2 linked regions of the Saccharomyces cerevisiae S288C genome follow. The protein of the gene in region 1 binds, or shares a complex with, the protein of each later gene. Each region holds a gene or a part of one and is shown in the gene's direction. Other genes may lie near its edges.

Region 1 (6,024 bases):
CTTTGAACCATTTTTGATCGATATTCTTATATTCTAAGGAGCTATCTAAGTAGCTGATATTTTCAAATGGTATCGAAGGCCCAGTGAATGGAAGCTCCTTGTCGTCGACGGTTCCCTTCAAATCATTGTAGGCAAGGGAGTTCACATTATCGTAAATGTGGTCAAATGAGACTGAAATCTCGTCGTCAATTGCTTTTATTTTAGATAGTGACGTTTCCGACGTTTCCGACGTTTCCGACGTTTCCTTCCAGTCAGCAGGTTCAACATCGCTCTCTGGTGGTATAGTAAGAGGAGTGTAAAGCTCGGAAGAAGATGAGTTCATTCTATCCGGCAAATAATCAATCATATTAGGAGAGCATTTAGGGTTTACATCATATCTTTCTATATATTCTTGTTTCACCCTCCATGGTGCGTGCTCCTTATTCGATACTTTTATGAGTATTTCATTAAGAAAACACGCAATTATGAATTTAGAAAAGTGTGATTCTGGCCTTTTAATTTCATTCTGGCCTACAATTAGGGCCGCACCTTTAGATTCTCGATTCAGGCATTCTGTGATTAAATACAGTGACAATTTTGGGGCAGAAATTTCTCCCTTTTCACTTTCCATCATCCCGTTAGATTGAAACACATCCTTGACAAGGAACAACGTGACATTGTTTTCAATAGTTGGTGATTCTACCAAGTTAGGCTCTCCTTCTTTATAGGTAATCAATGCATTTTTTTGGATAGTTTTCAAGCACACCGTATCGCCTATAAAGAAACGGTTACTAAAACGCTGAAATGCGCTTTCTACAAGGTGTCCTACCTTCCTTATCGGACTGAAGTTTGCGAAATTTGCTATAGCCTTCCTTAGTTCTTTTGGTAAAAGATATCTGACCTTTTCACGGTGCTGTTCTTCGCTTTTTAACGCCTTGAAATACGAAAGGCCATCTTTTCCACTAATCTCACAGGTGAATATATCCCTTTTGTAAAAATCTAGCTTTTTTAAATCACTGTCATAATCATTTATACGCTCGCTACTTTCTTTAATCACCCATGGAGTTTCAGAGAAGGAATCAGCAGACTGTCCTATTTCCTTAGGTTGTATTTTCCTTCTGTTAAGCAGAACCATTTTTGCTTTGAATTTAAAGTACGGCTAGAAGAAGAGCCAAACTAGGGATTGCGATTTTTACTGAATGAAAATGATTGTCTCTCTTACTAAGTCTGCTAACATTTATCAGGTTCATAATGTTTACTATTGAAGTGGCGCGTTACAAGAAAACAAGTCATCCCATATTGAAATGACAACAAATAGAAAAATACACATAATTCCATATCGCTAAATCACACTATCATATACAAAATGGACCAAAGTAAACAAATGTCGATTCATGCAAGTATTGTTACATATCTTGTCACTTTCTCTTCCAAAAGTTGAGGATAGCTGTAAAGGTGCATTTGCTAAACTCTCAGAAACTGCTGGTCCTAAACAATATCAAAACAAATATCAGATAGGTAAGCTTAGATTATTTTAAGGACATGTGAGCCATAGTGCAGATACTCGTACTACTGTTGTAAATATTTCTGTAATTTCAAAGTTGAGATTATCTAGATGAAGTTTTTTTTTTGTTATCGCCTAAGTTTAATGTCCGTACAAATGAAAAATTTTCAAGGCGATGAGCTGAAGTGAAGCTTCAAAATTAAGGAAAGTATTTGCGCTGTTAAGGTAAAAATATCACATAATAGTAGCCTTTAATCAGCCATCTGAGTTATCTGAAACGATGGAGCAGTCTAATAAACAGCACCGTAAGGCGAAGGAGAAGAATACAGCAAAAAAGAAGCTCCATACGCAGGGTCATAATGCAAAGGCCTTTGCCGTGGCAGCCCCAGGTAAGATGGCGAGAACTATGCAAAGGTCAAGTGATGTGAACGAAAGAAAACTGCATGTTCCTATGGTTGATCGTACCCCTGAAGATGATCCGCCTCCATTTATCGTCGCTGTCGTGGGTCCACCTGGAACAGGAAAGACTACTTTGATTCGGTCCCTCGTCAGGAGAATGACAAAAAGCACTTTGAATGATATTCAAGGTCCTATTACTGTTGTCTCTGGTAAACATAGAAGACTAACTTTTTTGGAGTGCCCTGCGGACGATCTGAATGCGATGATTGATATTGCTAAGATTGCCGACTTGGTTCTTTTACTAATTGACGGTAATTTCGGTTTTGAAATGGAAACAATGGAATTCTTAAATATTGCTCAACATCACGGTATGCCAAGAGTACTTGGTGTAGCTACACATCTTGATCTGTTTAAATCTCAGTCAACTTTGAGAGCTTCTAAGAAAAGATTAAAGCACAGATTCTGGACGGAAGTTTATCAAGGTGCAAAATTATTTTACCTATCTGGTGTGATTAATGGAAGGTATCCTGATAGAGAGATTTTAAACCTTTCACGATTTATATCTGTTATGAAATTCAGACCATTAAAATGGAGGAACGAACATCCCTATATGTTGGCTGACAGATTCACAGATTTAACTCATCCGGAATTAATAGAGACTCAAGGACTGCAAATCGACCGCAAAGTCGCTATCTATGGTTATTTGCACGGTACTCCTTTGCCTTCTGCTCCGGGCACTAGGGTGCATATTGCTGGTGTTGGTGATTTCTCAGTAGCACAAATTGAAAAATTACCAGATCCATGTCCCACACCTTTTTACCAACAGAAACTGGATGATTTTGAACGTGAAAAAATGAAAGAAGAGGCAAAGGCTAACGGAGAAATTACAACTGCCTCTACGACAAGAAGACGTAAAAGGTTAGATGATAAAGATAAATTGATATATGCTCCAATGTCCGATGTCGGAGGTGTGTTGATGGATAAGGATGCTGTTTATATTGATATTGGAAAGAAAAATGAAGAGCCAAGTTTTGTTCCCGGCCAAGAAAGAGGTGAAGGAGAAAAACTCATGACGGGTTTACAAAGTGTTGAACAAAGTATTGCAGAGAAATTTGATGGTGTGGGTTTGCAATTGTTTAGCAACGGCACTGAGCTTCATGAAGTTGCCGATCATGAAGGCATGGATGTTGAAAGTGGAGAAGAAAGTATTGAGGACGATGAAGGAAAGAGCAAGGGAAGAACCAGTTTAAGAAAACCAAGAATTTATGGTAAGCCAGTTCAAGAAGAAGACGCAGATATTGATAATTTACCGAGTGATGAAGAACCTTATACAAATGATGACGACGTGCAGGACTCCGAACCAAGGATGGTTGAAATCGATTTCAATAATACCGGTGAGCAGGGTGCCGAAAAATTAGCTTTGGAAACAGATTCTGAATTTGAAGAGAGTGAAGATGAGTTTTCCTGGGAAAGAACAGCGGCAAACAAGCTGAAGAAAACTGAAAGTAAGAAAAGGACCTGGAATATCGGTAAGCTGATATACATGGACAACATTTCACCTGAAGAATGTATAAGAAGGTGGAGGGGCGAGGACGACGATAGTAAAGACGAAAGTGACATTGAAGAAGATGTTGATGATGACTTCTTCAGGAAAAAAGATGGTACTGTTACAAAAGAGGGCAATAAAGACCATGCAGTTGATTTGGAAAAGTTTGTTCCATATTTCGACACTTTCGAAAAATTGGCTAAAAAATGGAAAAGCGTTGATGCAATCAAAGAGCGATTCCTCGGCGCAGGCATTTTAGGTAATGATAATAAAACGAAAAGTGACTCTAATGAAGGTGGGGAAGAACTATACGGCGATTTTGAAGATCTAGAAGATGGAAACCCTTCTGAACAAGCAGAAGACAATAGTGACAAAGAAAGTGAGGATGAGGATGAAAACGAAGACACTAATGGAGATGATGATAATTCATTCACTAATTTTGATGCGGAGGAAAAAAAGGACTTAACCATGGAGCAAGAAAGAGAAATGAATGCTGCAAAGAAGGAAAAACTACGTGCACAATTCGAGATAGAAGAAGGTGAAAACTTTAAAGAAGATGATGAAAACAATGAATATGATACATGGTATGAACTACAGAAGGCCAAGATATCTAAACAGTTAGAAATTAACAATATAGAATATCAAGAAATGACTCCAGAACAACGTCAAAGAATCGAAGGTTTCAAAGCTGGTTCTTATGTACGTATCGTTTTCGAAAAAGTCCCAATGGAATTTGTCAAGAATTTCAATCCAAAATTTCCAATTGTTATGGGTGGTTTATTGCCGACCGAAATAAAGTTCGGTATTGTCAAAGCCAGGTTGAGAAGACATCGTTGGCATAAGAAGATTTTGAAGACAAATGACCCACTGGTCTTGTCTTTGGGTTGGAGAAGGTTCCAAACTTTACCAATTTATACAACAACTGACTCTAGAACAAGAACCAGAATGCTAAAGTATACACCAGAACACACATATTGTAATGCGGCTTTCTACGGTCCCTTATGTTCTCCAAACACACCTTTTTGTGGTGTTCAAATTGTTGCTAATAGTGATACCGGGAACGGTTTTAGAATTGCAGCAACAGGTATCGTTGAAGAGATAGACGTTAATATTGAAATTGTTAAAAAGTTAAAATTAGTTGGGTTTCCATATAAAATTTTCAAAAATACTGCCTTTATAAAGGACATGTTTTCAAGTGCTATGGAAGTTGCAAGGTTTGAGGGTGCGCAGATCAAAACTGTCTCGGGTATCCGTGGTGAAATCAAAAGGGCACTTTCAAAGCCTGAGGGTCACTATAGGGCAGCCTTTGAGGATAAAATCCTAATGAGTGATATTGTAATTCTAAGATCATGGTATCCTGTCCGCGTCAAGAAATTCTATAATCCTGTTACCTCACTATTGTTGAAGGAAAAAACCGAGTGGAAAGGTTTAAGATTGACAGGCCAAATAAGAGCGGCTATGAACCTGGAAACACCGTCGAATCCGGACAGTGCATATCATAAAATAGAACGTGTAGAAAGACACTTCAATGGTCTAAAGGTCCCAAAAGCTGTTCAAAAGGAATTGCCATTCAAATCTCAGATCCATCAAATGAAACCACAAAAGAAGAAAACATATATGGCTAAAAGAGCCGTGGTGCTAGGTGGTGATGAAAAGAAGGCAAGATCATTCATTCAAAAAGTATTGACGATTTCGAAAGCCAAAGACAGCAAGAGGAAGGAACAGAAGGCTAGTCAACGTAAGGAAAGATTGAAAAAATTAGCTAAGATGGAGGAAGAAAAATCACAAAGGGATAAGGAGAAAAAGAAAGAATACTTCGCCCAGAATGGTAAAAGAACAACTATGGGCGGTGACGATGAATCTCGTCCACGTAAGATGAGGAGGTAAACTTTCATGTATATATATATATATACATATATATATGTATACTTAAGATGTATCATACTTTTATTCAATCTTAGAGTCTAAAATATACTATGATCGCGGAAATGCTGTGCTCAAAAGTTATGAGGTGGCATCCTATGCAATTTTGTTGATTATTACAAAGCTGTTGAATTCATGTGAATGTCATATAAAGGGTATAGATGTATACGTCAATTAAATATATTGAGATAACCATTGGAACGCCTCTAAATAACCATTTCTCATAACAACGGAACACATGAAAACTTCAACTGGTCTTTGACCTTCAATTCTTTGAGAGCCAGTGGTATTCAATAATCCTAAAGCAGAACGTAGCTCCGCTTCAGAAACGGCGTTTGGAGCATCGATCTTGTTACCAAGAATTACAAAAGGAACGTCCTTCAATTCGGCAATGTTGAATAAAGCATCTAATTCGACACGTGCTTCATCAAATCTTTCAGGGTCAGCAGCATCGACTAAAAAGACGATACCATTAACTTCTGGGAAATAATCCTTCCATAAACGACGAGCTTGAATATGACCACCCAAATCGAAAGTTGTAAACTTAATGTTACCAATAGCCAGTTCTTCAGAAGTTGGATGCCATGTTGGTTGTAAGGTTGCCAATCTATCGTTCTTTAACATATGTAGCAATGTGGTCTTACCGGCATTATCCAAACCCAAGAAAAGTAGT
Region 2 (3,670 bases), on another chromosome or scaffold:
ATAATATGCAGAACGACGATTCTATTTGGGATTTGTCAGATTCTATTGTTACCCCCGGCGGCATTAATATATTCAAAACAGCCAAAAGGTGGGATCATATCTCTAATGCTGTCGAATCTAAGCAGAACGCCGATTACAATACTTCTTTGGCCGATATTTGGGGCAGAGCCTTGGCGTATAATTTTTTCCCTTCTCTAAATAGAGGGGGTATAGGCCTGACTTGGTCTTCCATTAGGGATTTCCCAGTGTTTCAAAATGCTGAAATGCCTTTTCCAATTTCTGTTGCGGACGGTAGGTATCCTGGAACAAAAGTCATCAATTTGAACGCAACGGTTTTTGAATTTAATCCCTTTGAAATGGGATCCTGGGATCCCTCTTTGAACTCTTTTGCCAACGTTAAGTACCTTGGAACGAATGTCTCCAATGGTGTACCATTGGAAAGGGGAAAATGTACCGCAGGCTTTGATAATGCAGGTTTTATCATGGGTACTTCCTCCACCTTATTTAACCAGTTTCTTTTGAGAATAAACTCCACTCACTTACCTAGTTTCATCACAAGATTAGCAAGACATTTTCTAAAGGATTTATCTCAAGATTTTAATGATATCGCTGTTTACAGTCCTAATCCATTTAAAGACACGAAGTTTTTGGATAGTGACTATACGACAAGTATTGTTGATTCAGACAGCCTATTCTTAGTTGACGGCGGTGAAGACGACGAAAATGTTCCTGTGTTACCGCTTATACAAAAGGAACGTGATGTGGACATTATTTTTGCGGTAGATAATTCTGCCGATATGAGATTGGCTTGGCCTGACGGTTCTTCTTTAGTCCATACCTATGAGCGTCAATTCGTTAAGCAAGGTCAAGGTATGTCCTTCCCATATGTTCCAGATACGAATACATTCGTTAATTTGGGTTTGAACAAGAAACCAACCTTCTTCGGTTGCGATGCTAATAATTTGACCGATCTTCAATATATTCCACCTCTAGTTGTTTATCTGCCAAATGCAGAATACTCTTTCAATAGTAATCAGAGCGCGTTCAAGCTATCATATTCCGAATCCCAAAGAAGAAGTATGATTCAAAACGGGTTTGAAATTGCAACTAGGAACAACTTCACTGATGATCCTGAATTCATGGGCTGCGTCGGCTGCGCCATCATTAGACGTAAGCAACAAGCTTTGAATATTACTTTGCCTCCGGAATGTGAAACCTGTTTTAAAAATTATTGCTGGAATGGTACCCTGGATACTACCCCATTACCAGATGTTGAAAAGGATGTTCACCACTCCTTTATCAACGTCAATAGCTTCAACAGCTCCATAGGACAAGAAGAAAGTCTTTACGCCGGATCTTCAGCTTCCCAGTCATCGTCTTCATCATCGTCTTCATCTTCGTCTTCGGAAATTCCTTCGGCTACTGCAACCCTTGAGAAAAAGGCAGCTACTAATTCTGGATCACATTTATCTGGCATAAGTGTAAAGTTCTCTGCTATGATTATGCTTACTTTATTGATGTTTACCGGAGCAGTATAATATCTCTTGCGTAATAACGGTATACAAAATGAGGCAATAAAAATCAAAGAACTACACTATAAAATAACGAAACATAAAGCTGAAAGACTAGCAAAATCACTAAAAAACTAAAATAAAAAAAGAAAATGAGCATTTCCCCTTTGCATTGAAGTATCATCCCTTTCGGGCAAGACCATGTTTAAGGAACTTCACTAATGACATCGGAGGTCTATATATAGCAGACCTCTTCTTTAAAAGATATAACTTTATAATTATAACCCCGCGCAAAGCGTATTAATACTTTAAATGGGTAGTCAAGTTGCTTTTATTACTTGCACTTACTTTGAAGGAGGATGTCAGAATTACCCTCGCCATATTGGTAATGTAATTTTTCACGGACTCGAGATTGAAAAAATTTCAGAAAAATTTGCAAAAAAGTGCCGATGAGATGAGCCTTCATAAGCTACGTATGTTGTAAGGGTATAACATCTGTCAAGCTTCACCATTGTCAACACTTTTCCACTAGGATAATCCTCCAAAAGTATAGCAATGTCATCTTCCGCCCCCAAATACACCACTTTCCAAGGGTCACAAAATTTTAGGTTACGGATCGTCTTGGCAACATTATCAGGGAAACCAATAAAAATTGAAAAAATCCGTTCAGGCGACTTAAATCCCGGTCTGAAAGATTATGAAGTGTCTTTTCTAAGGCTGATCGAGTCGGTCACCAACGGGAGTGTAATTGAAATTTCTTATACCGGTACTACTGTGATTTATAGGCCCGGTATCATAGTTGGTGGTGCATCAACTCATATCTGCCCTAGTTCCAAACCGGTAGGTTATTTCGTCGAACCAATGCTATATTTGGCTCCATTTTCAAAAAAGAAATTTTCTATATTATTCAAAGGCATAACTGCATCTCACAACGATGCCGGTATTGAAGCTATCAAATGGGGACTCATGCCCGTTATGGAAAAATTTGGCGTTAGAGAGTGCGCCCTACATACTTTGAAAAGAGGTTCACCACCACTAGGAGGTGGCGAAGTGCATTTGGTTGTTGATTCTTTGATTGCGCAACCTATAACTATGCATGAAATAGATAGGCCCATAATTTCATCGATTACCGGTGTAGCATACTCTACCAGAGTAAGTCCGTCGCTTGTGAATAGAATGATCGATGGTGCTAAGAAGGTATTGAAAAATCTGCAATGCGAAGTTAACATAACGGCAGATGTCTGGAGAGGTGAAAATTCAGGGAAGAGTCCAGGCTGGGGTATTACTTTGGTTGCTCAGTCCAAGCAGAAAGGTTGGAGTTATTTTGCAGAAGATATCGGTGATGCAGGTTCTATACCTGAAGAACTTGGTGAAAAAGTTGCCTGTCAATTATTAGAAGAAATATCAAAGAGTGCAGCAGTTGGTAGAAACCAGCTTCCATTAGCAATTGTTTACATGGTCATCGGGAAAGAAGATATCGGCAGATTGAGAATTAATAAGGAACAGATAGACGAAAGATTCATAATCCTCTTGAGAGATATTAAGAAGATCTTTAATACTGAAGTCTTTTTAAAACCAGTTGACGAGGCGGATAATGAAGACATGATAGCTACTATCAAGGGTATTGGTTTCACAAACACAAGCAAAAAGATTGCATAGCATGTTCTAATATTATTCAATAGATATTAGACCACTGTATATAAGTTATATATATATATATGATTATTTAGGTGTAACTTCACGGACAACTGTCTAGAGTATAAGATTACTGGAGGATCATTGATGATTTCCTTTAACTCTTTTGGGTCATCTAAAATATCATCAAAGAGCGTATGCGAAAAGCGCGTTAAGAATAGATTACTTCATGACAAAATATAATTTTCCAGCTCAAAAATGTTTGTTTTTTTATGTAGACACTATTTTCAAACTATCTTTGTTAAATTACTCATCACCATCGTTGAAATCCAGATTAATCCAACTTGGCCATGCTAACTCCTTTCTTAAAAAATCTTTGAATATCGTAAACAAAAACTGTTCTAGTTCTCCAACACTTCTTAATACTGAGCCCTGTCCCTGATATTGTTCCCCTATTTCGGTTTCAATCTTCATACTTCTCACAATGGATATTCGCTCCAATGGCTTAGTAGCTGCCAGAATTG

What was found.
Region 2: the proteins of BMS1 (region 1) and RCL1 are in contact, whole or in part, in a crystal structure (PDB 4CLQ), measured with the Saccharomyces cerevisiae proteins. Residues at the interface, in NP_015107.1 of Saccharomyces cerevisiae: Ile549 (codon at 3,408), Gly550 (codon at 3,411), Leu552 (codon at 3,417), Ile553 (codon at 3,420), Tyr554 (codon at 3,423), Met555 (codon at 3,426), Asp556 (codon at 3,429), Ile558 (codon at 3,435), Ser559 (codon at 3,438), Pro560 (codon at 3,441), Glu561 (codon at 3,444), Cys563 (codon at 3,450), Ile564 (codon at 3,453), Trp567 (codon at 3,462), Arg568 (codon at 3,465), Val606 (codon at 3,579), Asp607 (codon at 3,582), Leu608 (codon at 3,585), Glu609 (codon at 3,588), Lys610 (codon at 3,591), Phe611 (codon at 3,594), Val612 (codon at 3,597), Pro613 (codon at 3,600), Tyr614 (codon at 3,603), Phe615 (codon at 3,606), Asp616 (codon at 3,609), Phe618 (codon at 3,615), Leu621 (codon at 3,624), Ala622 (codon at 3,627), Lys624 (codon at 3,633); in NP_014633.1 of Saccharomyces cerevisiae: Ser14 (codon at 2,106), Gln15 (codon at 2,109), Asn16 (codon at 2,112), Phe17 (codon at 2,115), Arg18 (codon at 2,118), Leu19 (codon at 2,121), Glu49 (codon at 2,211), Lys94 (codon at 2,346), Tyr98 (codon at 2,358), Glu101 (codon at 2,367), His125 (codon at 2,439), Asn126 (codon at 2,442), Asp127 (codon at 2,445), Ala128 (codon at 2,448), Ala132 (codon at 2,460), Leu137 (codon at 2,475), Arg185 (codon at 2,619), Pro186 (codon at 2,622), Ile187 (codon at 2,625), Ile188 (codon at 2,628), Ile191 (codon at 2,637), Val215 (codon at 2,709), Asn218 (codon at 2,718), Leu219 (codon at 2,721), Gln220 (codon at 2,724), Cys221 (codon at 2,727), Tyr256 (codon at 2,832), Phe257 (codon at 2,835), Glu259 (codon at 2,841), Glu270 (codon at 2,874).

What each region holds. Positions count from the first base shown.
Region 1 is NC_001148.4:138,911-144,934, reverse strand, and holds BMS1 (GTPase BMS1), read left to right. Parts: upstream 1-1,763; coding exon 1,764-5,315; downstream 5,316-6,024. Other genes in the region: YPL216W (uncharacterized protein), read right to left, coding at 1-1,114; Arf family GTPase SAR1, read right to left, coding at 5,526-6,024. UniProt on the Saccharomyces cerevisiae protein: GTPase required for synthesis of 40S ribosomal subunits and for processing the 35S pre-rRNA at sites A0, A1, and A2.
Region 2 is NC_001147.6:305,872-309,541, forward strand, and holds RCL1 (rRNA-processing endoribonuclease), read left to right. Parts: upstream 1-2,066; coding exon 2,067-3,170; downstream 3,171-3,670. Other genes in the region: PLB3 (lysophospholipase), read left to right, coding at 1-1,538; ERMES complex subunit MDM12, read right to left, coding at 3,453-3,670. UniProt on the Saccharomyces cerevisiae protein: Does not have cyclase activity. Plays a role in 40S-ribosomal-subunit biogenesis in the early pre-rRNA processing steps at sites A0, A1 and A2 that are required for proper maturation of the 18S RNA. RCL1 activates BMS1 by promoting GDP/GTP exchange.